Linked DNA regions of Oryctolagus cuniculus. The protein of the gene in region 7 interacts with the protein of the main gene of each other region in a biochemical or structural test. Links are inferred from orthologs where the notes say so. Each region holds a gene or a part of one and is shown on either strand. Other genes may lie near its edges.

Region 1 (3,174 bases), on a different chromosome or scaffold from region 7:
AGGGTGGTGGGCAGAGGGGCCAGGGTGGTGGGCAGCGGGGCCAGGGTGGTGGACAGAAGGGCCAGGGTGGTGGGCAGCGGGGCCAGGGTGGTGGGTAGAGGGGCCAGGGTGGTGGGCAGAGGGGCCAGGGTGGTGGACAGCAGGGCCAGGGTGGTGGGCAGAGGGCCAGGGTGGTGGGCAGAGGGGCCAGGGTGGTGGACAGAAGGGCCAGGCTGGTGGGCAGCGGGGCCAGGGTGGTGGGCAGAGGGGCCAGGGTGGTGGGCAGCGGGGCCAGGGTGGTGGGCAGAAGGGCCAGGGTGGTGGGCAGCGGGGCCAGGGTGGTGGGCAGAGGGGCCAGGGTGGTGGGCAGCGGGGCCAGGGTGGTGGACAGAGGGGCCAGGGTGGTGGACAGAGGGGCCAGGGTGGTGGGCAGAGGGGCCAGGGTGGTGGACAGTGGGGCCAGGGTGGTGGACAGTGGGGCCAGGGTGGTGGGCAGCGGGGCCAGCGTGGTGGGCAGCGGGGCCAGGGTGGTGGACAGAGGGGCCAGGATGGTGGGAAGAGGGGCCAGCACAGCAGAGGGCCAGGGTGGTGGGCAGAGGGGCCAGGGTGGTGGGCAGTGGGGCCAGGGTGGTGGACAGTGGGGCCAGGGTGGTGGGCAGCGGGGCCAGCGTGGTGGGCAGCGGGGCCAGGGTGGTGGACAGAGGGGCCAGGATGGTGGGAAGAGGGGCCAGCACAGCAGAGGGCCAGGGTGGTGGGCAGAGGGGCCAGGGTGGTGGGCAGTGGGGCCAGGGTGGTGGGCAGAGGGGCCAGGGTGGTGGACAGTGGGGCCAGCACAACAGAGGGCCAGGTGGCAGACAGAGTGACCAGCATGGTGGACAGAGGGGCCAGGGTGGGCTTGGCAGGAGGGCTGGGCTGCCCTTGCATGGGGAGAAGGCTGGTGAAGGGTGGGTGGTGGGCACCATGCAGACCCCGGTGGGCTCTGGGTGCCCAGGGAGGGTCTAGGGCGGAGACCCCCAGTGTCCCTGGGAGGAGGGAGGCTGGGTGCTGGGCAGGGTGTGTGGGTGGTGAGGGGCCCCATGCTTCTCTCTCAGGGAACGTCCTCTCTTGCCCGGAGGGAGGCCCGTGGCCTGCAGTGGGACCTTTGGCCCTGCGGCGCAGGTAGGACTGGGTGAACCCGCACACCCCCAAGGCCGCCAGGGGCCCCTCAGCCCAGCTTGGCGCCCTGCTCCTATCTGAGCCCCCAGGTCCCTTGGGGTCCCTGTGTCAAATGGCTCCAGGCACCCAGGAGGGTGGAGGCCTCACAGGAAGTCGCTCACTGCTCCCGCCCCCCTCCCTGGTCGGGGAGCTCCCAGAACATGCATGGACGGAAGCCAGGCCACACGTGTGCTGGGGACACGGCAGCGGTCACACGTGAGCTGGGGACACGGCAGCGGTCACACGTGAGCTGGGGACACGGCAGCCAGGTGACACGTGTGCTGGGGACACGGCAGCGGTCACACGTGAGCTGGGGACACGGCAGCCAGGTAACACGTGTGTTGGGGACACGGCAGCCAGGTAACACGTGTGCTGGGGACACGGCAGCGGTCACATGTGTGCTGGGGACACGGCAGTGGTCCCACGTGAGCTGGGGACACGGCAGCCAGGTCACACGTGTGCTGGGGACACGGCAGCCAGGTCACACGTGTGCTGGGGACACGGCAGCGGTTACACGTGTGCTGGGGACACGGCAGTGGTCACACGTGAGCTGGGGACACGGCAGCCAGGTGACACGTGTGCTGGGGACACGGCAGCCAGGTGACACGTGTGCTGGGGACACGGCAGCCAGGTCACACGTGAGCTGGGGACACGGCAGCCAGGCCACACGTGTGCTGGGGACACGGCAGCAGTCACACATGTGCTGGGGACACGGCAGTGGTCACACGTGAGCTGGGGACACGGCAGCCAGGCCACACGTGTGCTGGGGACACAGCAGCCAGGTCACACGTGTGCTGGGGACACGGCAGCGGTCACACGTGTGCTGGGGACACGGCAGTGGTCACACGTGAGCTGTATAGGTGAAGGCCCCACCCATGCACCCCTTCTTCCTGCAACCCCACGGCAGTCAGGGGTCAGGGAGACCGGCCATGCAGCTGCGCCTTGGCCCCACGCCCGCAGACGGCAGAGAGAACGTGGGGGAGTCAGGCAGGAGTGGCGGACCACAGGAGCGCAGGGCCCCCCGGCACCTGGGCCTCTCCGGTCACTTCAGGCCCCTGTGCGGCTTTCCAGCCCACTGTGCCTGGGCCTTTGCGAGCGGATGGGGCGGCCTCCCCCCGTCCAGAGCCCCTCCCGCATCCCCGCTGACCTCAGCACTCCCCTCCCTCGCCAGCGCCGCCGGGGGACGGCTACGTGCAGGCGGACGCCCAGGGGCCGCGGGACTATGAGGAGCACCTGTACGTCAACACCCAGGGGCTGGACAGCGCAGAGCCTGAGGACCCAGCCGAGGACAGCCCCAAGAAGGACCTGTTCGACATGCGTACGTGGGGCCTGGGGGGCCCTGTCTGACGGGGGAGGCCTGGTGGGCTCCCACAGAGGAACTCTGGGATCTTCTGTGGGAGTCTGCAGTCGGGTGGGAGAGGCTGTGGCACGCTCCCATGGTGTTTCACGGTGCATGGGCCCCAGACTGGGGGTGCCCAAACCTGGCTTGGACCCCCGCCCTGTCTGTTGGGGAGGCGTGGCTCCCCATCTCTGGTTTCCCCAGTCTGATGAGGGCGGCCTGGCCCACGCCTCCGGGAAGAGACTAGTCTGATGGTGGAGGTCCATCTGGTGGATGGGGCCTGCCTTCCTATACCCAAAGTGACTCAGTCCCAGCGACCCAGCAACCCCACACTGCTGCTGGATGTGGCGGGGGCTGGGGTCCCTCAGGACTGCCCCCTAGGGTCCCCCATGCTGCTGGAAGCCCCCATCCGTGTCACCCGACCCCAAGATTTCTGACTGTTGCCAGGCCTGGGGACGCTGGCGTAAGGGGAGGGAGCCCCGGGGCTGGGCGGTGAGGCTGGGTGCACGCTGGCTCTGAGGGGCGTGTCCAAACCACAGTGGTCCCCGCTGGAAGCAGGACGCGGAGGGACTTCTGCTTGGTGGGCAGTGGCGATGGCAGGTGTCCGGGGTGGGGGGAGCAGTGTTGCGCCGCCAGCCGTGGCCAGTGCTGTAGGACCAGCA
Region 2 (3,500 bases), on a different chromosome or scaffold from region 7:
GCCAGCTTCAGGTTCACAAAACCCGGCCTCTGCCTCTGTGCTGTGTAGGCTGCCCCAGACTTGGGCGCTGTGGAGACTGGGATTTTCTGACGGGGGAAGGCGGCCGGCAGACTGGGGCTTGGGAGGCAGACGGAGGTCCTGCAGCCTGCACTGGCTAGCCGGCACGCCCCTGCCGGGGCAGCTCCCTTCCCAGTCTCCATGTGCTGGCTGTGACTTGGGGACGCTGACTGCGTGGTCTTGCTGTGTGTGCGTGCTAAATAAGATTCGTAGCAGTACCTGCCTCACAGCCCCCAAATGGAAACAACCCAATGTTGACCAACCTTCACACAGATAGGCTGGTTTGGGATTCTCACGCACTGGATTCTCAACAGCTCAACAGATGAAGGCATCTATTATGGGATGGACCGTGTCCCTAAAGTCTCACGTCCAAGTGCTAACCCCAGCAGCTGGAGACGTGACTATAGTGGGATTCTGGGTCTCTAGAGAGGTGATGAATTAACATGAGGCCTATGGGCAGGCGCTAATTCAATACCAGTGCTGCTCTCATGAGAAGAGATCAGGATGTGACAGGCACAGAGGGAAGGCTGTGTGAGCACTCCTGGAGAGACCAACCCTGCCCACACCTTGACCTTGGACTTGGACTTGGAGCCCCAGGGCAGGGGGATGGTGCATGCTGCTCTGTTATGGCTGTCCTAGCAAACGGATGCAGGCTCTCACAAGGTGGAGTGGAAAGAGCAAGACACATGGAAATGAAAATGGCACAATTCGCGAGCATAAACTCAATATGGACACAATGTGGGTGGTAAAACAAAACAAAACAAAAATCGAGGGAGGATTTGCATGCAAGCCAGGGCAGTGTTTGCTAACCTCCCAGGAGGCAGGGGACGACCACAACTGTACATCTGGAATGTTCTCTCTCAGCTGTGGTTACAGAGGGGCTTACTTTTCATCACACTGTATAATTTATAGTTATTTACTCATTGATGATTTACGTGGTGTTACACGTATTTTGTATTTCACAACAACAAACATGAAGAACGAAAGAGGAGCTGGCGCTCGGCAAGGTAGTTAAGCTGCTGGTTGGGCGCCCGTATCATCCGGTGTCAGAGTGCCTGGGGGCCAGGCCCAGCTCTGCTCCCTGTTCCAGCGGCCTGCTAATGCGCACTCTGGGAGGCAGCAGGTGATGGCTCAAGTACTTGGGTCTCTGCCACCCACAAAGCAGACCTGGTTTGAGTTCCTAGCTCCTGGCTGTGGTCCCAGCCCAGCCCTGGCTGTTGTAGGCATTTGGGGAGTGAACCAGTGATGGAAGCTTTGTCTGTCTCTTTCAAATAAATAAATAAATAAATAAACATCAAAAAAAAAAAAAAAAAAAAAAAAAAAAGGAAAGAAAGCTTAAGTCGGTAGAGGAAATGAGGGAAGCCCAGGGGTGGCAGCCATGTTTTGCTCAGTTACAGGATTCGACTTGGAGACCCAGTGTCATAATTCTGTTTTCCATAGTCACTGTCCCCTTCTAGGCACAGGCCAGCTCCCAGACCATGTCACCTGCCGGCTTCTGGCTGAGGGGCCTCTCAAGGATCATGGAGCTTGCCCATCTTTGGATTCCACATCCCAGCTGGGGATTGAGGGCTCTGGGGTCCATGCTGCCTCCACAGACCCCACTAGCCTCACTTTCCTGCTGACCGGGTTGCACGGTCAGGGTAGGGGGCGGGTCTCCCCCTGGCCTCTGCTGCCCGTTGTCTGGGTGGTGTCCAGCCTGGGGGAGCTGCTCGTGTGCACAGCCTCAAAGTCAGCTGCCCAGCAGGGCCGGAAGTGGGAGGGCTCGGAGGCTACAGGTTCTCTGAGCAGGGACCCTTCCCCACTCACCGCACACACTAGGTCTATGGGGGGGGGGGCTTCCCAGGGCCCCAGGGCAGGGGCCAGGAAGGCTTACCTTGACTGGTTTCGCTCTCTCTTATGAGGAAGGAGCCGGCCTTGTTGACTGGAGCTAGAAGCTGCCTCTCGGCCTCTTTCCGGCTGATTGACTTAAAGAACCACCTGAAAAACAGCAAGACAAGTGAGCCTCAGGGTCCCCTTGCTTGGCAAGTTTTTTTTTTTTATAAGATTTATTTAATTTTTTTTGAAAGTCAGAGACATCTTCCATCCGCTGGTTCACTCCCCAAATGGCTGCAATGGCCAAGACCCAGGAAGGTTGAAGCCAGGAGCCTCATCCTGGTCTCTTATGTGGGTGCAGCGGCCCAAGCGCTTGGGCCATCCTCCAGTACTTTCCCAGGCCATAGCAGGGAGCTGGATCAGCAGTGGAGCAGCTGGGACACGAACCGGTACCCATATGGGATGCCGGCAGCGCAGATGGCGTCACCCATGTCACCAATCCCCGTCCCTGGGAATATTTTTTTCCAGCTTCCCTCCTAAGCCATCCTTAGAGATGAGTTAGTCCTGAGCTGTTCTCCGTGTCTTGGAGCTTGCTCATCCCGTCTCGCTTCCCATCAGCTGCTGGACCGAAATGAAACCAGGACTTTATTTGGGTGGCCATTGTTTTGTTCAGGAAAAATGCACCCGATCCATCACTGTCCCCTACAGCACTGGCTCCGCAGGGTGGACACATGCCCACCCTTGGGGTCTGTGTCTGAAGGAGGCAGATGGCAGGAGACTCCCCAGCCTGGATTCCAGCTGTGCCCCTTCGGCACAGGACTGTCCAGCACCGAGACGCCCCAGGGCCCCACTAGCTGTTCTTCGGGGAAAGCCGCAGGCCAGAGCGCCCAGCCAGGCAGGGCAGGAGCAGCTGCGCGTTCCCCGCTACGGCCCCTTCCCCAGGCTTGGATGGAGCCCGCTGTGCGCGCATGCTCCAGGCATCGTGTGCGCATGCTCCAGGCATCGTGTGCGCATGCTCCAGGCATCGTGTGCGCATGCTCCAGGCATCGTGTGCGCATGCTCCAGGCATCGTGTGCGCATGCTCCAGGCGTTGTGCGCGCCATTCATGGGCAGGCCCCACTGACCGGCACAGATGGTTCTGGTGAATGTGGGCCATGGGGCTGCTGATGGAAGCTGTTTCGGAACAGGGCCCGAATCCTGGGAGCCCCCTGGGCGCTGAGCCCTAGAGGCCTGCCCCTGGAGGCAGTGGGGCCTGCCTGCTGGCCAGAGAGCCTCACCGTGAGCTTGCAGGGTCACGCTGGGCAGGCCTCCATCCCGGGATGCGAGAGAGGGAACCCTTGTCGTGTTTGATGAGGGGTGGGGGCGGTGTGGCTCCCTCTGTATCACACTGCGGGTTAAGTGCTGTGTGGACCAGGAGTTAACCCACTCCCGCCCCTTCTGGCTGGGCCCTGTGGTCACTGTTTAGCCAGCTTTCCGGCCCTGCCCTGCGTGGCAGCCTACAAAGCAGAAGCGGGAAAGGCACCTCCGGTTTGAGGGGGCTTCCGTTTGGCCACCTACTTTTCCACCTCCAGGGACTCGACTCCGGCCACAAAGTTGCTGGGCACGTAGCCTTCTTTCCCCGTGACGAGCGA
Region 3 (4,112 bases), on a different chromosome or scaffold from region 7:
AACCTCTGCTAAATGATCCAGCCATTCCACTTGCGGGCACACGTCCGTATGAACACCTGTGTGTGAGAATTCTAAGACTCTTATTTGTGACAGCCAAACAGTCAAGTGTCCATCAACAGGAGAGTGGATAAGCAAACTGCAGTGTATCCACACAACGGGACACTCTACAACTAAGCAATAAAAATTCTGGAACTATGGGACACACTGTAACATGGACGAATCTCAGCATACCTGTCTGAGGGTGAGAAGCCACACCAAAGAGGAGGACACACGAAGGACATTTATATAAAATCCTAGGAGATGCACACTCGCACACAGTGACAGGAAGCAGAACAGTGACTGCCTAAGACCTAAGAAGGGATTATAAAGAGCACAAGGAAACCTCACAGGGGTTATGGATACGTCCATTATCTTGACGTGGTGATGACGTCCCAAGTGGATACACACATCAATAGTTTGGGAAGACACACTTAACAATATGTAATTTATCTCACATCATGGATGCCTCAATAAAGCTGGTTAAAAATCCAAAACTTGACTCACAATCTAAAAAGCAACAATTTCCAACTAAGTGTGTTTTGTTCAGACCCTGACTTTTAGGTGGCGCCCACTTCTTTTCTACAATAGCAAGTCAGAAATACCAGGGCCAGAAGGCAGAAGGAATCACTCTGTTTCAAACCGCCACCTTGGGAGTGTGTTTGGCACAGTGAGTAAGATGCCTGCATCCCATGCTGGAGAACCTGGGTTCGAATTCCGGCTCTGCCTCTGATCCCAGCTTCCTGCTAGTGTGCATCCCGGGAGGCAGTGGATGGTGGTTCAAGTGCTTGAGTCCTGTGGTGACCTGGAACGAGTTCTGGACTCCCGACTTGGGGTCAGTCAGCCCTGCTATCGTGGGCATTTGGGGAGTAAACCCAAGGATGGAAAACCCATCTCTCTCTAGCTCACTCTTCCTTTCACTCATTTAAAAAAAAAAATGTCAAATGTCACTTCAACCGTTTGCTGCTTTGGCAATGCCCACACTTCCCCGTTTCTAAACTAACAAGCAGCACAATGCAGGGTCTACTGGGACTCAGCCCCTTTCCCTGCCCCAGCCCCCAAGTCTTTCTGTCCCCCAACGCAGCAGATCCTTACTTGTCTGAAAGAGCAGACACAAGGAACAAAAGGCTCAATGACTACCTGACAGATCAGAGAACAGACAACTGTTTCATGTGGGAGCTCCCTAAAGAAGTGGAACGTTTGGGGCCGCACACTGTTCTGCAGCATGCAGTTAGACACCCCCGGTCTGGGAGCACCTGCCGACAGACCTGTCCCCCTCACTCACTCACTCACTCACGAGTTTCACTTTTCCGTTTCCTGCCCTCTTTTGCTCCAGGTCCGTGCACGAATGGCATGCATGCAGGTGTGTGCGTCTCGAGCAGACATTCCTAATATTCCGAAAGCATCTCTCGTTCAAACAGCCCCGACCCCCTGAAAGCGCTTCTCCAATGCCTGGGACGGTGACCCTCGCAGAACAACCACGGGCAAGCACAGACAAAGGTCTTATGTGTGAGTCCCAAGCAACGAGCAGTGATGCAGAATAGCAGCCTCATTATCTGAGAACCACGGGTCACGCTACTGTTTAACAGCAAAAACGACCCGTGACGGTTATAAAATAATAGCAACTCGGCGATCCGCACTGGACTCGGGCTCCACCATTTACTGAGCGGTGGGAGGCAACGCAGATTTCTGCTTTTTTACAGCGGGGGTAGCTGGACCGACCTCAGCGGACTGCTGGAGTTCAAAAGGCTGCGTCTGGACTCAAAGCGAGTCAACGTTAGTTCGTGCAAACTCCCCCTTCCTGCTGACCCGCACGCTCCTGCGGGGCCTCGGTTTTCACATCCGTGAAATGGGTCCTGGTTTTCCAGGTTGTAGCGAGATCCAGCTCCCTTCCCGCCCATCTCCCAGAGCGAGGATCGCAGAGGAAGGAAATACTCGTAGCGGCTGCACACACAGTCAGTTTTTCCACTTCTGGCACGTGAGGGGCGGAGGGGGGGAGAAGGCGATGCAAAGGGGCACATGCAAGGGTCAGGGGTCCTGAGTGGAGCCCCCCACCCCACCCCGAGGCGCGCGAGTGGCGGCGCGGCCCCGGGGCGGCGAGTGCCCAGCGGCGCCCGGGGCCCCAGGAGCCTCCCCCGGAGAGCGGGGTTATTTCGGAATCACCATGAGGCAATTCTCATGAGGCAATGGGTCAGGAATGCGGCGCCGAGCCGGGCCGCTGGCGGCCGCGGCTCTCCGGGCGCCTCTACCTGCTCCCGGCCGGACGGGCATCCCCGGGCCGCTGGAGCCGGAACTCGGGGAGGCAGGAAATGAATGGGGACCCGAGGGTGGGGGTGCGCTGGGGCCCCGGGCTGGGGGCGGCGAGGGGGTCCGGAGCCACCCTGCCCTCCCCGTCCCCCTCGCCCGGGACCGGGGTCCGAGGCCCGGCCGGGACGCCCCCCTCCCGGGCGCGGCTGGGCGGAGGCGGCGGGGGCCCGGCCCAGGCCCGCGCCGGGGCCCCTCGGGGCTCCTCACCTCCGCGATGTCATGTTCCTCCCGCCCTCCGGCTCCGCGACGGACCCGCTCCTTGCTCAGGCTCCGCAGGGCCCGGTCACATCGGGCTGGCCCGAGGGAGGCCCGCTCGGGACCGGACGTGGGGCAGAGCCAGCCGGCCGCGCGCAGACCCCCCTCCAGGCCTGGGGGATCCCGGACACTGTGCAGCCGCCCCCCAAGCCCGGCTGGCTCCGCCTCCTCCCCCGCCCTTCGCCGCCGGCGCCTCGGTGACGTCATCCGTGCGACGCCCGCCGCCACTTCCTGCTTCCCGTCGGCTGCGAGCGAGAGGCGGTCGCTGACTGCGTCTCGGGGCTCGCGGGAGCCGCCACCGCGCGCGTTCGCAATCGCGCCCGCCCACGCCGTGTCAGTTTCCGTCGCCGCATAGACGCCGAGCCGAGTTCTGTTCGTCTCCCTCCCCGCGTCGCCGCCCCTCTCGTTGGCTCTGCAAGCTGCAAAAGCTACGTGGTCTCTCCGAGCTCCAGCGTCCCCCCATGCCTTCGTTTGCGTGAAGAAGGGCTATGCGTTCTTCATGGCGTTACCGTGAAGATTCACCGTGGAAAACAGGCAGGCGTGCGCCCGTCTGGCGGCACAAGCTGCGTTGCAGTCGTTTCTGATGAGTGTTTTCCGTCTGCTGAGCCCTGGTTTAAACCGTGGCTTCGTGAACCAAAAGTCCGAAAAGCCCTGATCTGGAAACAGTCAACAATGCAGAGGAATTCTGGTGTGCGTGCTAGGTTATAAAGACGTCTGTGTGCTGTTTGTAAACGCGGAAGGCCGCGTGGAGCTCAACTCCACGACCCCCAGGGTGCCCGAACCACACTCTGCGCGTGTACATACATGATGAAGTTTCATGTGTTTAACCACAATAAAAAAAAGTTAATGAACGTAAGCTGTTGTGTGAGCGCAGCGCTTTTTGGTACAACACAGTGCCATCAATCAGAAGGCATTTTCTTTTTTTTCTGAGATATTTATTTATTTATTATTTGAAAGGCAGAGTGACAGAGAAATCTATCTGCCAGTTCACTCCCCCTCACCCCGCCCAATACCTGCGACAGCCATGGGGAAGCCAGGCGCCCGGAGCTCCCTGGGGGTCCCTCACGGGGGTGGCAGAACCCCACCTCCCCAGCCATCCTCCCCTGCTTTCCCAGGCGCATTAGCAGGGAGCCGGATTGGCCGCAGAGCAGAAGCATCGCAAGCAGCGGCCCCAGAAGACACTTTGTGTTCAAGCCGATCACCCGCACATTGGGTGCTTTTTCTTAGCACTTGTGCTACGTGGCCATACCACCTTCTGCAGTTAGAGGAGTGACAGCAAAACTACAATGAATTCCGTTTTCCTTCTTCACTGTTAGATCTTAGCAACCTCAGCCTACAAGTTCTGTGTTTTTGGTTTTGTTTTCTCATTTATCTGAAAGGCAGAGAGGCAGATCTTGTCCCCGCTGGTTCACTCCCCAAATGCCTGCAACAGCCAGGCCTACTTCAATCCTGGTCTCCCACGTGGGGGATGGGGACCCAAGCTGCTGCCTCCCAGGGTGTGCATTAGCGGGAAG
Region 4 (4,015 bases), on a different chromosome or scaffold from region 7:
CCTGGGTCCGTCTTGCCGCTGCAGGCATTTGGGGAATGAGCCGGCAGACGGAAGCCCTGTCTGTCTGTCTGTCTGTCTGTCTCTGTTCTAGACCTGAAGGAGTGCGGGGAGGTGAGGAGGAGGCAGCGTCGGAGACTGAGGAGCGGCAGGGACGGGGCGAGCAAAGAGGAGGAGCAGAGACCGGGTCTGGACACCCAGGCTTCTGAGGCAGGGAGGGAGCCCTCCCACCCTGGGACCTGCCACCACTGTGACCTTGACCTTGACAGGACCGGTTTTGAAGGCGTCCTGGGGGCTGCAGAGACAATGGCAGAGGAGTTGAGAGAGAAAAGGGCGGAAGCCAGGAGGGGATCCGAGGTGGAGGGCTTTGGGTTTTGTTGGTCGGTAGCCTGGTAAGAAGGGAAAATGAAGCCCTGGTGTTTGTTGAGGGGAGCACGGCACAGGGAGAGGGCTGCTGTGGGGGGGACGGCACAGGGAGAGGGCTGCTTTGGGGGGGGGGACGGCACAGAGGGAGAGGGCTGCTGTGGGGGGGACGGCACAGGGAGAGGGCTGCTGTGGGGGGGGACGGCACAGGGAGAGGGCTGCTGTGGGGGGGAGCACGGCACAGGGAGAGGGCTGCTGTGGGGGGGACGGCACAGGGAGAGGGCTGCTGTGGGGGGGGGACGGCACAGGGAGAGGGCTGCTGTGGGGGGGGGACGGCACAGGGAGAGGGCTGCTGTGGGGGGGAGCACGGCACAGGGAGAGGGCTGCTGTGGGGGGGACGGCACAGGGAGAGGGCTGCTGTGGGGGGGACGGCACAGAGGGAGAGGGCTGCTGTGGGGGGGGCACAGGGAGAGGGCTGCTGTGGGGGGGACGGCACAGAGGGAGAGGGCTGCTGTGGGGGGGGCACAGGGAGAGGGCTGCTGTGGGGGGGACGGCACAGGGAGAGGGCTGATGTGGGGGGGACGGCACAGGGAGAGGGCTGCTGTGGGGGGGACGGCACAGGGAGAGGGCTGCTGTGGGGGGGACGGCACAGGGAGAGGGCTGCTGTGGGGGGGACGGCACAGGGAGAGGGCTGCTGTGGGGGGGGACGGCGCAGAGAGAGGGCTGCTGTGGGGGGGGACGGCGCAGAGAGAGGGCTGCTGTGGGGGGGACGGCACAGGGAGAGGGCTGCTGTGGGGGGGACAGCACAGAGGGAGAGGGCTGCTGTGGGGGGGCACAGGGAGAGGGCTGCTGTGTTGGGGACGGCACAGGGAGAGGGCTGCTGTGGGGGGGAGCACGGCACAGAGAGAGGGCTGCTGTGGGGGGGACGGCACAGGGAGAGGGCTGCTGTGGGGGGGGCCTGCTCGGAGCCGCCCCTTCCAGGCAGCTGCAGGGAAGGCGGAGTCTGAGTATAGCTCCAGGAGGCGGGGTGTGGGGGCCAGGAGGGGCGGGGTCAGGCAGCCTCTCTTCTGGCACCGTCCATGGTCCCAGTGAGGTGTGGAGGGGCTGCAGGTTTGAGTCCAGAGAAGGTACGACGTGGCCAGGGGCGGATTCCAGGCAGCATCCGGGGCCCAGCCAAGGTCAGGTGGCCCCCGCATTGGCCCAGGGGTCAGCGCGGGGTCACCGGGAGCCCTGCTGCGCCGCTCTGGCTTTCTAACAAACCTCCGCTGTTCAGGCCACGGCCCGGCTGTGACACAAGACCAGATTTCTATCTAACCCTTGTGGTCAATTCTTGAGACAAAGGAGGCCCAATCTCAACTTCTCACTTCCTCTTTAGGAAGGGAATTCCCTTTGCTCTCCCCGACTTCTCTCTCCGGAGCCAGCAGGCTGCAGAGCCACACACCCACCTGGCACCAAGGGCCAGGCCGGGCTGGGATCCGTGCTCAGGAGGGAGAGCAGAGCCCTGGCCAACAGCGCCCCCGTGGGAAATCCCAGAAACCCTGGGCCGGCTCTCATCACAGATTCTAGCTGACAAACTCACTTTGTCAGAACTTAAAATAGGCTACACAGCCACGTGGCATGGAAGCCAACAGATGCAGATCTCCCTCCCAGCCCGGCCTTCTGGAAGCTCTGGAGGGAGCGCCAGAGGCAGCCCTTGGTGGCGGCACCTCTGCCCGCCCGGGAGAGGGAAGGGAGTGTGTGTGGGCAGGCCCGGCCGACTTACTCGGGAAATCGGATGTCTATGAAGTTCTTGGGCACGTAGCCTTCCTGGCTCCCCAGCTCCGCCTTGAACCACTCCTCTTGGTTGCTGAGTACCTACAGGCAGGGAGAGGACACAGGACAAAGACACTGCAGTGAGGACCCCAGAACAGCCAGACAGAGGGGCCGAGCCCAGAGCACCCTTTGCCAGGTGGAGGGAAAGGAGCTACCAGCAGCTCTGGGAAGCTCCCGAGGCCCGCGGAGGCAGCGGTGGGTCTGTGTCTGCAGATTCGCTTCTCTGGACCCCGAGTTATTGCTGCAGACTCGTGCCTCCCACCCCCACCCCCCCTTTTCCCCGTGTGTTTTGGGAAACTCCTTTGTCTGGGATCTTCAGCGCCTGGGCGGAGGGTGGCAAGGCAAACAGCCGCTCCATTGTTGCTCTTCTTCTTTTCCAGGTAGCCAGGAAACATTTAAAAACCGAACTGGTTTTTATTTTTTAGACGTAAACACCGGAATGGGGCCAGCTTCGGAAGCACGAGTTCTACCCGGCTGGTTTCACGGAACGATTTTTGGGGCAGAATTCAGGACCGTCGAGATGCCCTTCCTGAGCCTGCTCTGCGAGCCTGCGCCCAGCAAAAGCGAGAGTTCTGTCTCGCGGCTATCCGGCCGCCCCACGAGCGATCCCTGCCTTCGTGGCTGTACTACCCACTAGGCTTGCTTCTGCGTGGCTCCCGGTTACTTCAGAAAACGAGCTCGCGGCGGGAAGAGACGGTGCCGCGCCCACGGGAGCATCTGAAGCGCGCGACATCGCCGTGCACAGCTCCCGGCGAGGCCGACGGAGCAGAAGCCGGCAAGACCCTCGCGGCGCCCCTGAACGGACCACCCGGAGCCCGCCTGCTCCTGCACGCGGGAGGAACCGTCCATCTCCGTCACGATTAAGCCACCCTGAGCGTCTGTTTCCCGTGGCAGAAATGTCGTCACGGCTAGGAGCCCTGTGATAAAGGAGGTGCCGGAAGACGGATAGGAAAGCCGGGAGCAGCGGCCACCTGCCCGGGGGCGGCGGCGCCAGAAATCACTCGGGGAAAGGCAGGTGGCCGAGGATCCACTTCCGGGTCACGAGGGGCGTGGTGCATCCTGGGAACGGAACACGCAGGCCGGCTGGGGTTGGGGGTGGGAATCCAGGAATGGCGGTCTGTGGGCCGTGTTGGAGAGCCTGGAGTCTTACCCTGAAACTTACGGGCCCACTCAGGGGTGCTGGGCAGAGAAAGGACGGGGGGAGCCTCAGAGGGAAGCGGGAGCCGCGTGTGAGTCGGGACACAGGGCCAGGAGGCCGCGTGTTGCCCTCCAGGCGAGAGAGGACAGCGGCCGGGGCCCGGGAGGGGCGAGGACACATTTCTGAGGCAGGAATCGAGACCGGCAGCGTTTGGGGACATTCCCGGGGGGCAGAGGGAGAAGGGGGCTCTGGGGCGGCGCCGGCTTGCAGCCTGGGAGACTGCGCAGGGGGCGATGGCTTCTCTCGGAGAGAAAGCGCAGGAGGAGGAGGAGCGGCGAGCTGCTGGGGTGCCCGGCCTCCCAGAGGGGCGGCGTTGATGTCGGAGTCCCGGGGAAGCCGCGCACGCAGCGTCCCCCGGCCTGGCTGTGCCGCGAGCTGTGTGATCCCGGGCCAGTCCATCAGCCCTCCCGGGGCCTCGCGCAGCCCGCGTGGACATCAGGAGAGCACGCGGCTCCTCTTTGAGAAGACGCCCCTGCCCTCCCGCTCCGCAGGCCCCGGCGGGGCCCACGAGTCCTGTGCCGCCTTCTGCGTGTGTGTGCCGAGCGCCACCGTGGGTTCTGAAGAACTGAAAGTGCGGCCCACATCTGAGCTTGAGAACTGCTGAGAACAGCCCGCTTCAGAGATTCTGACATCAAATGCGACCGT
Region 5 (3,500 bases), on a different chromosome or scaffold from region 7:
GAAGCCCAGCCATTCTGGAAGCAAATGCAAATCCTATGAAATTAAATGTACCCATACCCTATGATCTAAAACACCCCAGTACCTGCCCAGAGAGACCATCCCTGGTATAGGGAAAACACGCACGGAGGTTGGCAGCAGCTTGGGTATTTTTCTCAAGAGAGCTCAGTGAGAGACGTGGAGTGTGTGCACGAGGGGACCCTGTGCAGCCCTCCAAAGCTATGACCCAATGCAGAGAGCACCATTGGCAGAAACCCACAGTGTGCTTCAAGGAAAAAGGAAACAATGAAAGGGAACAATATCACATTTGCAGATTTCTAAAAAGCATAGACAAAAAAATATACATTTTTGCACATGACATAGATACTGAAAAAGAAAAACGAGAGCAGGTAGCGTGGGGGAAGTGGTGACTTTACATTTTGTCCTTTCGAGGCAGCTGCCCCACTGGAACTAGGTAGGGCCAGGTGTTCAGAGGGCCAAGAGCTGAGCTGTATGGGCAGTTCAGTCTGGGCGGTAACCCTGCCCCGATGCCCCACCTGCACCCCAGCCCATCCACCATTACCTTGCGTGCCAGTCCCACTGAAGGCTACAGTTCCACCCCTACCTATCAGTCAGGAAAAGCCATGTTCTCAAGTCCTGCTCAGACAACCCTACCCTGCCTTCCTGTTTTCACTGGATGCCAGGTTTTAAGCAGCAGTCCTGGAATTTACTCAGTGCCCAGGTTGATTTCATTCCATTTATTAAACCCAGCAGCACTACTTGGGCTGTGGCCAGGATGAAGCCAAATGTATCTACTGACTGGAAGATGGAAAATTCAGCTGAACTCATGGAATTATTCGGACCCAGTTGTAATGCCAATGATAGCCAAACAGCGTCACAAGGCATTGCTCCTCTGAGTGAGAAGAGACTAATCCTTGGGGGCTTTATCTACTGCTACATCACATTTTGCAGGCTTCACACAAAAAGCTCAGTGATTGCACTTGAGACAAATACCTAAAGCCCAGGGGTCTAAACTTCCTGCCCACTGTGATGTTACTTGGAAGAAAATGTTCTCCCTTTATAGCTTTATAGTTACATCTTTCACACTTAGGTTCTTTTCTTTTTTTTGAGAGGCAGAGAGAGAGAGAGACAAAGTTCCCATCCAGTGTTTCATTCCCCAAATGCCCACAGTGGCAGAATAAGCTGGGGGCTGAAGCCCAGAGCCAGGAACTCAATCCATGTCTCCCATGTGGGTGGCAGGAATCCAATTACTTGAGCCATCACCACTACCTTCAGGAGCGCAACCAAAGCATGAAACAGGAACTGGGAGACTTAGCCAGGCATTGAACCCAGCTACTCTCATTTGGAATGGACACATTTTAACCAGCGTCCCATTCACTAAGCCAAACACCTGCCCTCATAATTAGGTTTTAATCCCAGCTGAAGGTACTTTTGAATATGACATGAACTAGGGACACAACATTTTTTTTTTTTTTACATCACATAGTGATCCAGTGTTTCAGTACTTGTTCATTTTAAAGGACGTGAAATGGACTAGCGGTTAAACCGCCAGGTGGTATGGTCACTGCCCATATCAGAGTGCCGGGGTTCAATTCTTGGCTCTGGTCCCTGATTCTAGCTTCTGTTCAGTGTGCATCCTGGGAGGCTGCCGATGATGGCTCAGATAGTCGGGTCCCATCTGCCTGAGAGATGGGACTGAGTTCCCAGGTCCCAGCTTCGGTCTGACCCAGCCTCAACTGCCGTGGGCACTTGGGGAGTGGATCAGCGTGTCATCTGTCTAACTCTGCCTCTCAAATAAAATAGATTTAAAAAAAAAAAAGAAGGGTGTCAAGGCTTTCAGACTGGACCATGACGATTTTGCAAGTTTTGTAACTAGCACAGGGCCCTGACCAGGCCTAAGTCCCCTGTCCCTGGGCTCTACTGAAGGAGTGACCAGGACGTGGCAGGCCCTGACCTGCACGGCTGTGCACTCACCGTGCCTTCAGGGTCCACAAGCAGCAGGTGCTTGGCCTGGCCGTTGTGCATGCCTGTGAGGACGAAGGAGCCGGAGTTGGTGGTGCTCTTCCTGACGAGGAAGTCTCCATCTTTCTCCAGCAGCCCTTCCGCCTCCTTCCTGCTCATCTCTCCTTGGTACCAAGGCTCGGCCTGCAGTGTCTCCAGCATCTTGGCATCCGGAGCTCGGGGTGAGACAGGACTGATGCACTCCACGGAGGCTGCCTTGTTCAACACAGGCCCTAAGGACTGATTCTTGAGAGCATCTTCAAAAGGTTCTGTCAACAACATTTGCCAGCAAAGTCAGTCCCGAGCAGGCCGAGTGATAAAAACACAATGTGAGAGACAGAAATGCAAAGGCAATTCTTCCATTAAACACTACAGGGGTGGGCATTGTGGTGCAGTGGGTTAGGCCATTGCTTGGGACATCTGCACCCCATTAGAATACTGGTTTGCGTCCTGGCTACTTTGCTTCCTATCCAGTTCCCTGTCAATGTGCCTGGGACACAGAAAATGATGGCTCAAGTACTTGAGTTCCTGCCATCCACGGGGGAGATTAGCATGGCGTTCCTGGCTCCTGGCTTCAGTCTGGCCCAGATCCAACTGCTGCCATTTGGGGAGTGAACAAGTGGATAGGTTTCTGTATCTCTCTCTCTCTCTCTCTCTCTCTCTCTCTCTGCTACTCTGTCTTTCAAATGGATAAATAAACCTTTAAAGAAAAAAAGTAAGGAAAATAAACGGCTGGTAACATGATAAGACTTGGCGTAACATGTATTTAGAAGCACAGCCCAAATTTTGTCGTGACTCTCTCTGATGAGTCTGCTTTTTTTCCCCAGACAGCCAGGAGGCGTGCATGGTGCCGAGGACTCAGGTTCCTTCTTGTCTAGCTTTGTAGAAAGACTTCGTTTTTGCGCACTGTAAGAGGCCATGTACACTGTGTCCCATCTACTCTCTCTGGAACATCAGCCAACCTCTCTAACAATTTCTGTATAAAAACCTGTCACTGCTACAGGACACAGTAAGCCACAAAGCTTTGATTCCATGCAAAACATAAACCAAACTCACCAAAGTTTCATTTCAAAATCTCTGCACCAAACATTCTGTAGTCACATGTATTGAGTGCCTCTTACGTGACTTGCTCTAGGCTAGAGCTCTGCCTCCCTTTGACCTTCACTCGCTCCCCTGTGGAAAAGTCTCTTGCATGAGTGCCTGAGACCAAGGTTGGCTTCATCCCCTTGGGAACACACTTCTCAGTGCAGAGCATCAGAAGGGTGAGACTGCTGCTCTACCAGTGGCAAAAGAAGCAGCTAGGCGTGTCTGATTAAATCCCTATGTTTGATATTCAAATAAGGATATGCTAAAAGCACCCTGGAAAATGTACAGTGCTTTGCAAGTGCCAGGGATTCTGAGGATTGCTTTGGACCACACTGCCTACCCTGGACAGCGTAAGCACCAGGAACGGTCTTCCCCTGGGCAGGACAGTTCCCGGGACGCAGTTCACATTCTGAATA
Region 6 (2,627 bases), on a different chromosome or scaffold from region 7:
GGGGGTCCCCGAGGGAGCCGCGCTGGGAGGGGACCCCGAGGCTGGGCCGGGCCAGGGAGGGTGCGCGCTAAGGCGACCTCCAGGGAGCGAGGACTTGGGGGGTCCCCGAGGGAGCCGCGCTGGGAGGGGACCCCGAGGCTGGGGGGGGGGGAAGGCCGGGGCGCGCGGGCCTACCCTTGGCCAGCTCCTCCTCGGCCGACCTCGTGCCCTGCTTCCGGCGGGGTTTCCCGAGCTTCGTGCAGATGGCGCCCTTGGTCCGGCTGTAGTGCTGCGGGGCGCGCGGCCGTGAGCGGGCGCGGTCGGGGCGCCCGGGCTGCGAGGTGGCCGGTTTCCATGGGAACGGGGAGAGGAGGCGGGGCGGAGCCCGGCTGGGGCGGGAGGCGGGACCGGGGCGTGTGGGGAGGCGGGACGTGGGCGGGGCCTTCGGGGGAGGACTCCTGGCCGGGGAGGCGGAGCCTGTAGGGGCGGGGCCTGTCCGGGGCAAGGCGCGCGGGGGAGGAGCCTTGCTGGGTGGGCGGGGCCTGGCCCGGGGGCGGGGCCCGGCGCGCACCTCCACCATGTCCATGAGGTTGCAGAAGCACGCGCTCTCGTCGATGGTGAGGCGGCCGTCGCGGTGCAGCACGCGGTAGTGGATGACGTCACGGCCGAAGCTCACGCACAGCACGTAGTCCCCGGGGTGCCGCGCCGACTCGCGCACCAGGAACAGCCCGTCCTCGGGCGGCTGCAGCTGCCGCACGGCCTCGGGCCCCGAGATCTTCCCGTGGAACCACCTGCGGCGGGGCGGGGTCAGAGCGGGCGGGGCGGGGCCGGCCGGGCTCGCCCCGCCCCCGCCCCGCCCCACTCACGGCATGAGGCTGAGCCTGGGGTCGGCGGACAGGGCCTCGCGCTCGCGCAGCGCGCCGGCCGCCAGCAGCCCCTCCTGGCCGCTGGCGTGGTGCTTGGCGCGGTACCAGCTCTTGCTCTGTGCGGGAGGCGGGAGGCGGGCGTGGGCGGGGTCCGGGCGGCGCGCCCCCGCCGCCGCGCACGCGCTTACCTCGCAGGCCTCCAGGATGGTGACCACGTCGCCCTTGCGGAAGGCCAGCTCCCCCGGCTTGGGCCGCGAGTGCTCGCACTTGGTGATGCACTGCGTGCCGGGGGCCCAGCGCCTCTGGCCAGGGCGGGACGCCGGGAGACGCGCGGGCAGGGGGACGGGCGCAAACCCGGGGCGGGGGGCGAGAGAGAACCGAGTCAGGACGGGAGCGAGGGGACCCCGGAGCTGGGGGCGGGGGGACGGCGCCGCCGGGTCCCGCACCCCCGTCCCCGGGCATGGCGTGGGCTGGGGCCGGGGGCACGAGGCCGGGCACTCACCGTGGGCATCCTGGCTGAGACGGGCAGCGAGGCCAGGCCAGGAGACGGGGGCTCACCTGGAGCGGGGTGGGCACGGGACAGAGCCGCGCTCTGGGGTCGGGAGTGCAGCCGCCCCGGCCGCCGCTCAGGGTCCAGAACCCCAAGACACACCCCACCCGGCCCGGAGGCGAGGGACTTGTACCCCCGGCAGGGTCACGGCCGTGACCTCACTCTGCCACGATCCCCCAGGGGACTCCGTGGCACCCAGGGCGGCGCAGGCTGCTGGCCAGGGAGCAGTGGCCGGGCCCAGGCCCGGCGCTTCCTCTTCTGTGAGTCGGGGGCGGATGAGTCAAGGTCATTCCCGCGAAGGTCTGACCCCGGGGTGCAGCGCGGCCCCGTGACCCCCACCCCATCCCCGGGCGCCCGCGCTGGGCGGCGACGCGCCCCCTCCCCCCACCGCCACAGGTGGCTGGGCACCCGGTGCCCAGGAAGAACCCACGCAAACCCAGCGGCTCGGGGGCGCCAGGGGCCGGCCACCGGTGCCAGGAGGGCGCGCACCGGGAACGCGCGCACCTGTGGGGCCCCCGCCCCGCCACGCCCCGCCACGCCCCGCTCTCGAACACCTGGGCGGTAGGCGCACGGGCGTCTCGGCCGCACGCAAGAGGCCCTCCCTCCACGTGGGCGCACGGGGCACGCCGGCGCCCCCTGCACCCAGCCCAGCCCGCGTCCGACCGCCGCCGGCCCCGCGCGCGCCCCCGCGAGCCGGGGTCCCCGGGACGCCGCTCCGCCCGCCTCCAGGTCCGCCGCCCCCTCCCCGGCCGCCGCGCTCACCTGCTCAGGGGACGCCCCCGGGCCGCGCCCCACGCCCGGCCCCAGGCGGGTCCCCGCGAGCCGGCAGCGCACCCCGAGGCGCTCCGGGCTGCACAACTTGGAGCAAGTCGCTCCGTTTCCTCATTTTGGGGCTGGGGGGGAGAGCCGGTCGGGGAGCAGGGGGGTGGTGGCGGGCGGCGCCCGGGAGGCCCCCGCGGGTCCTAGCGCCGGCCGCACTGCGGTCCGCTTCGCGCGCGCGCGCGCGCGCACCGCCGGCCCCTCCCCGCCCCGCCCCCGCGGTCCCCGGCTCCTCCTGCGGGGGCCGCGTGCGGGGGTCCGGCAGGCGCCGCCCGCTCGCGCGGGGTGGAGGGGCGAGCTGCCCGTCCGGAAAGGCCAACAAGTCCAGCCTTTTCAGTCCGGCCCATTGAAGAAATAAAATTCTCTTAAATTTACATGAGAGGCAGGGCGGGGCCACGCCCAGAGGGCCCCCA
Region 7 (4,275 bases):
CTCCACACCCTCCTGCCCTAAGTCCCCTATGATGCTGAGAGGGCCCAGGAGAAAGGCAGGCATGGGCTGGACAGGAAGGGAGAGGACTCCACAGCCGGGAGGGGACCTCAGGCCCCCCAGCTCAGCCCCATTTCCCCTAGCCAGGTTCGGAGGTCCACCCCAAAACAGAACAGCATCCCTATCCCTTTAGGCTAAGGTTTGGGTCAAGCCATTCCTGTTGTGTGGACTTTGACCAACTCTTAAGGCCTCTTCATTGGCTAAGGAGCCTTGGCCAAGTCCGTGGGTTCTCTGAACTTCAGTTTTCCACCTGTGCCCCTGTCTCAGGATTGTTAGAGACGGAACGGAGCCATCTGCACTTGAGCACCTGCCTACAGGAAGCGCACTGCAACTTCTTAAAAACTTGAGGCAAGGGTTTCATCCAGCAGGAGTACAGGTGATCCCAGTTCAGGAGAAAATGCGCATTGTATTTGACCTTGAAAGTCAATATATTTTTCTTTTTACATTTGAGCCTTTCTTTGCTATTGTTTTTTTTTTTTCTTGGACATGAAAATGAACACTTTTAGTAGAAAGAGGGAAGGAGGTTCTTGGGAAGATCACACTGGAATTAAAATATGAATGAACAGTGAAAAGGATGCGTTTGGTGCAATTTACAAATCTTGACCGCTGAAAAAGATCTCAGCAAAATCCTGGCCCCCTGGCCCTTGCCCCTGGGCCTCCCCTTCCAACATCCCTGCCCCAGCCCACAGCCCTGGGGTAGAACCTGGCTGCTGGGTGGGATGTGCCTGCCTCTGTAACCATTCCCCATGCAACACACTCAGTGTCTCTCTGTAACTCAGCGTGAGGACCTGAGGAGGCCCCGGTCAAGAGGAGTCTACCCCAGCAACGCAGCCGCCACCGCCTGCTCTGCTCCCAGGCAAGGAGAGGAGGGCGGCCCCTCGCCATGGGCAGAGGTGAAGTTGCACGCCCAGGGAAGGAGGGAGGGAGGACAGGGACCTCCCTCTGCAGCCACCCAGCAGGCATGGGGCCACCTCCTGCTATTTACAACAGATCTGGCCCAGCACCTTGAGGGCGTTCCTGGAGAGGGCAGAGTTCAGCCTGCGTCCCCAAGTCATCAGGGAGACTGATGTTTGGCAACACAAGGCCCAGACACACAAACACAGACCATAATTCAGGACCACCTGGCACAGCCCCAGACACACACTGACAGCTCGCAGACAATGCGGCAAGGCCCTGGCGAGGACCCGGGAGAGCACCACGGATGCACTGCCACCCACAGCTCCCCAGACTCCCTGAGTGCCAGGGGCCACCTCACCCTGCTCCCACAGCACCCTCACCCAGGGATGCAAGGGGCAGTGCCCCCCACCGGCTCAGGTGGACCCCAATCATCATTTTCAATGTGCGGCTAAGGCTTGTGCTGCCCTGGGCCGGCTGTGAGCCCCACCACAAGCCAGCAGCCGCCTCCCTCTTTGGGCCCCGTTTTTCACCTGCAACGTGGCCTTCTGTTAGGAAGACGAAAGGAGGGAATGCATGCAAAACACCACCCACGGGCCCAGCAGAGTGTACTGGGCACAGAGTGTGTGTTAGCTTTTATCCTGACTTCGTGCAGGCGGACAGCAGGGTCGGGATACACACCTCTCCACTCACCCTCCCCGTCCCCTCACAGCAGGAAGCAAAAAGACAGCAGAAGCACCCGGCCCCTGGGATACCCCCGTCTGGCCACAGCTGCCCCGATATGCCGCCCGTGGAACTCTCCAAACCAGGAAACCCACCCTCACCCCTCTCTGGTCCAGGCTCTCCACAAGTCACAAAGCCCGCAGGCCCTGTAGGAACTGGCTCAAAACAAACCAGGGCCCCTCCCCCTCGCCCAGACCCCAGCGCCAGGGACGCGTGCAGCTCGCCAGGCCACTCTCCCCGGCCCGCGGGGCAGGTTGCTCTGCCCACCTCCCCCTTCACCCCCGGCCCCGCCTGAAGCCGGTACTCAAACGCGGGCGGCTGGAGGGGGCGGGGAGGGGGGAGGGGCAGGGCAGAGAGGACCCCCCCCCAAGGAATCCAGCCCAGTCCAGTCCGGAGGCGGAGGCTGCCAACTGGAAAGGCTTTGAGAAGGCTGGCGGGGGCTCGGCGCGGGGAAACACGCTCGCGCGCGCGCGCGCGCACGCACACTCCCACACCCACCCCGCAATCCACCTCGGCGAAAACTTTGGGCGCAATCTCGGAGAACTTTTCTGACAAGTCCCCGGAGCCCGCTGGGAGTCCGGCAAGCGCCCGGGCCCTAGAAAGGGGCGATCTCGAGCCGCTTCGGTGGGGGTCGCCCCCAACCCCGCCTCCACCTTCTCTCGCCCCCTCCCGGCCCGAGCGCCCCGCGCCGGGAAAGCCCGAACTTAACGAAACTTCGGCGAGGAGGGCTCGTCGGGCTCCTCGGCCCCCGCCAGCCTGGGACTTCGGACCGGAGACCCAGGCTGCGGGGGGGGCCCTTCACTACCCCATCCCCTCCCCACGCCAGACCCACCTTGGGTGCCCGCGGTTCCGGGGGGCAAAAGGGCGAGGAGGAGCCCCCAGCGGTACCAGGCCGCCAGCTCCATGGTGCTCACTGCGGCTCCGGCCCCATGGCTCCGGCTGGACCAGGCTGGGAGTGCGCGGGGCTCGGCGAGGGGGTGGGGGCCGGGCGCGCGGCTGCCGGCGGGCACTCCTAGTCTCTCGGCTCGCGCTGGAGGGGAATCTCAGCTCCACAACTTCATTCTCGTACTTCCTCAAGCAATCCTACTCCTCCACCACCTCCTCCTCCTCCACCTCCTCCTCCTCCTCCTCCTCCTCCTCCTCCTCCTCCTCCTCCCGTGATTGGGAGCAGGCGCGCTCACGGCTCGCCCCCCCACCCCCGCCGCTGCATTCCAGCAAGTCTGGGAGTGGCAACTCCAGCTTCGCTTTCTCCCTCTCCCGGCGCAGGCCTGGGTGCGTCCGTGCCAGCGCCCGGACGCCGGGGTTGCCCGCAGCAGTCCTCACGCAGAGCCGGGCAGAGGGATCCCGCCGCCTGCCCCGGAGTGCGGGCGAATTCTCCAGGCTGCCACCCTCCGGTCTCTCCGAAGCCTCGGGTTAGATCTGCAACATTCCCGGGGAGTTTGCATCCTACCGCGTCCCGCGCCTGTTTGTTGTGGTATCGAATAATGGCTTGCCCGCCGGCGCACTCAAGTAAACCTGCCGGCCTGGGAGCGGGGATGAGCTGGGGTCCAGGTGCGGCCTCCAGGAGCCCTTTGGACAGCTCCTCGGCTGTTGTAGGGATCTGGTCCGGGCTGAGAAGCAAGACCTACACATTTGGGAGGGGACAGTGAAATCGGAGGCAGCAGGGCTTCAGTCCCTGGCCGAGCGTTCTTGTTTTCCGTAAGGCTACGCGCAGAACCCAATCCCTCCCAGGTTTGTTCCTCGCCTTTTCCCGCCTGCTGAGCGCCACCCCTCCACCCTGCATCCATCCCGCCTGAATTCCGGCCCCTACTCTTAAACCTCCGTGGTGGCAGTGCGCCTGGAAAGAAGACCGATTTTTGCTGAAAGACAAAATACGACATGGGACATTGTATCCTAACAAATTGCTCATTATTTATCTGAGATTCAGATTTACGGGGCACCCTTATTATTATTTGCTAAATCTGGCAATTCTGAATGCCCCCCCACTCCACCCCGGAGCCCAAGAGCACATCAGTACGGGTCAAGAGGAGTGAGACGCTGCTCTGGGGTCTGGAGAGAGAAGCAGACGGACGTTTCCTAACCTGCGTCGTGGGCTGAGCACTGAGAGAGGCAGGCTGGGAACAGCGGGCTCTGGAATCAGGGAGCCCTGTGTTCAAGTCGCGGCTCCATCACATATCAGCCACTCAGACGGCACTTGGCACATGAAGATTGCTCAGTACACACTTCCAGATTTACTCATAGTGGGAGAGATGTAGGTTTTGTGGGGTCTGGGGTTTATAAAATTTGAGAGACTCTCTTTAAAAAAGAGTTGGAGAGAGATGGCAGGACTCCCACATCAGAGTCCTGGCTGCACCATGCTTCCGATTCAGCTTCCTGCTAACGTGCCTGGGAAGCAGCTGATGATGGCTCAAGTGCTTGGGTTCCTATCACCCACACAGGAAACCTGAATGGAGTTCCAGTCTCCTGGCTTTGGACTGGCTCAACCCTGGCTGTTGTGGGCATTTGGGGAGTGAACCAACAGATGAAAAATAAACCTCTCTCTCTCAAATAAATAAATACATATTTTTTTTTAAAAGAAAGTGATGGAGAGGCCAACACTGT

What was found.
Region 1: the proteins of ERBB2 (region 7) and SHC2 form a complex in vitro, tested with the Homo sapiens proteins (2 studies listed by BioGRID and IntAct, with this or other methods). The link is inferred for Oryctolagus cuniculus from reciprocal best matches to the Homo sapiens genes ERBB2 and SHC2.
Region 2: the proteins of ERBB2 (region 7) and BLK form a complex in vitro, tested with the Homo sapiens proteins (2 studies listed by BioGRID and IntAct, with this or other methods). The link is inferred for Oryctolagus cuniculus from reciprocal best matches to the Homo sapiens genes ERBB2 and BLK.
Region 3: the proteins of ERBB2 (region 7) and PTPN11 form a complex in vitro, tested with the Homo sapiens proteins (2 studies listed by BioGRID and IntAct, with this or other methods). The link is inferred for Oryctolagus cuniculus from reciprocal best matches to the Homo sapiens genes ERBB2 and PTPN11.
Region 4: the proteins of ERBB2 (region 7) and GRAP2 form a complex in vitro, tested with the Homo sapiens proteins (2 studies listed by BioGRID and IntAct, with this or other methods). The link is inferred for Oryctolagus cuniculus from reciprocal best matches to the Homo sapiens genes ERBB2 and GRAP2.
Region 5: the proteins of ERBB2 (region 7) and SHC3 form a complex in vitro, tested with the Homo sapiens proteins (2 studies listed by BioGRID and IntAct, with this or other methods). The link is inferred for Oryctolagus cuniculus from reciprocal best matches to the Homo sapiens genes ERBB2 and SHC3.
Region 6: the proteins of ERBB2 (region 7) and MATK form a complex in vitro, tested with the Homo sapiens proteins (2 studies listed by BioGRID and IntAct, with this or other methods). The link is inferred for Oryctolagus cuniculus from reciprocal best matches to the Homo sapiens genes ERBB2 and MATK.

What each region holds. Positions count from the first base shown.
Region 1 is NC_091447.1:58,293,981-58,297,154, reverse strand, and holds part of SHC2 (SHC-transforming protein 2), read left to right. Parts: intron 1-1,070; coding exon 1,071-1,137; intron 1,138-2,344; coding exon 2,345-2,491; intron 2,492-3,174. UniProt on the Homo sapiens protein: Signaling adapter that couples activated growth factor receptors to signaling pathway in neurons. Involved in the signal transduction pathways of neurotrophin-activated Trk receptors in cortical neurons.
Region 2 is NC_091433.1:42,975,853-42,979,352, forward strand, and holds part of BLK (tyrosine-protein kinase Blk), read right to left. Parts: coding exon 3,427-3,500; intron 2,035-3,426; coding exon 1,931-2,034; intron 1-1,930. UniProt on the Homo sapiens protein: Non-receptor tyrosine kinase involved in B-lymphocyte development, differentiation and signaling. B-cell receptor (BCR) signaling requires a tight regulation of several protein tyrosine kinases and phosphatases, and associated coreceptors.
Region 3 is NC_091452.1:9,714,961-9,719,072, reverse strand, and holds the start of PTPN11 (tyrosine-protein phosphatase non-receptor type 11), read right to left. Parts: upstream 2,801-4,112; 5' UTR 2,565-2,800; coding exon 2,551-2,564; intron 1-2,550. UniProt on the Homo sapiens protein: Acts downstream of various receptor and cytoplasmic protein tyrosine kinases to participate in the signal transduction from the cell surface to the nucleus. Positively regulates MAPK signal transduction pathway. Dephosphorylates GAB1, ARHGAP35 and EGFR.
Region 4 is NC_091442.1:116,101,251-116,105,265, reverse strand, and holds the start of GRAP2 (GRB2-related adapter protein 2), read right to left. Parts: upstream 2,801-4,015; 5' UTR 2,568-2,800; coding exon 2,328-2,567; intron 2,215-2,327; coding exon 2,123-2,214; intron 1-2,122. UniProt on the Homo sapiens protein: Interacts with SLP-76 to regulate NF-AT activation. Binds to tyrosine-phosphorylated shc.
Region 5 is NC_091432.1:137,843,197-137,846,696, forward strand, and holds part of SHC3 (SHC-transforming protein 3), read right to left. Parts: intron 2,268-3,500; coding exon 1,972-2,267; intron 1-1,971. UniProt on the Homo sapiens protein: Signaling adapter that couples activated growth factor receptors to signaling pathway in neurons. Involved in the signal transduction pathways of neurotrophin-activated Trk receptors in cortical neurons.
Region 6 is NC_091447.1:59,381,878-59,384,504, reverse strand, and holds part of MATK (megakaryocyte-associated tyrosine-protein kinase), read right to left. Parts: intron 2,369-2,627; exon of another isoform or gene 2,158-2,368; intron 1,404-2,157; 5' UTR 1,357-1,403; coding exon 1,348-1,356; intron 1,148-1,347; coding exon 846-1,147; intron 771-845; coding exon 551-770; intron 269-550; coding exon 175-268; intron 1-174.
Region 7 is NC_091448.1:22,692,087-22,696,361, forward strand, and holds the start of ERBB2 (receptor tyrosine-protein kinase erbB-2), read right to left. Parts: upstream 2,801-4,275; 5' UTR 2,580-2,800; coding exon 2,507-2,579; intron 1-2,506. UniProt on the Homo sapiens protein: Protein tyrosine kinase that is part of several cell surface receptor complexes, but that apparently needs a coreceptor for ligand binding. Essential component of a neuregulin-receptor complex, although neuregulins do not interact with it alone.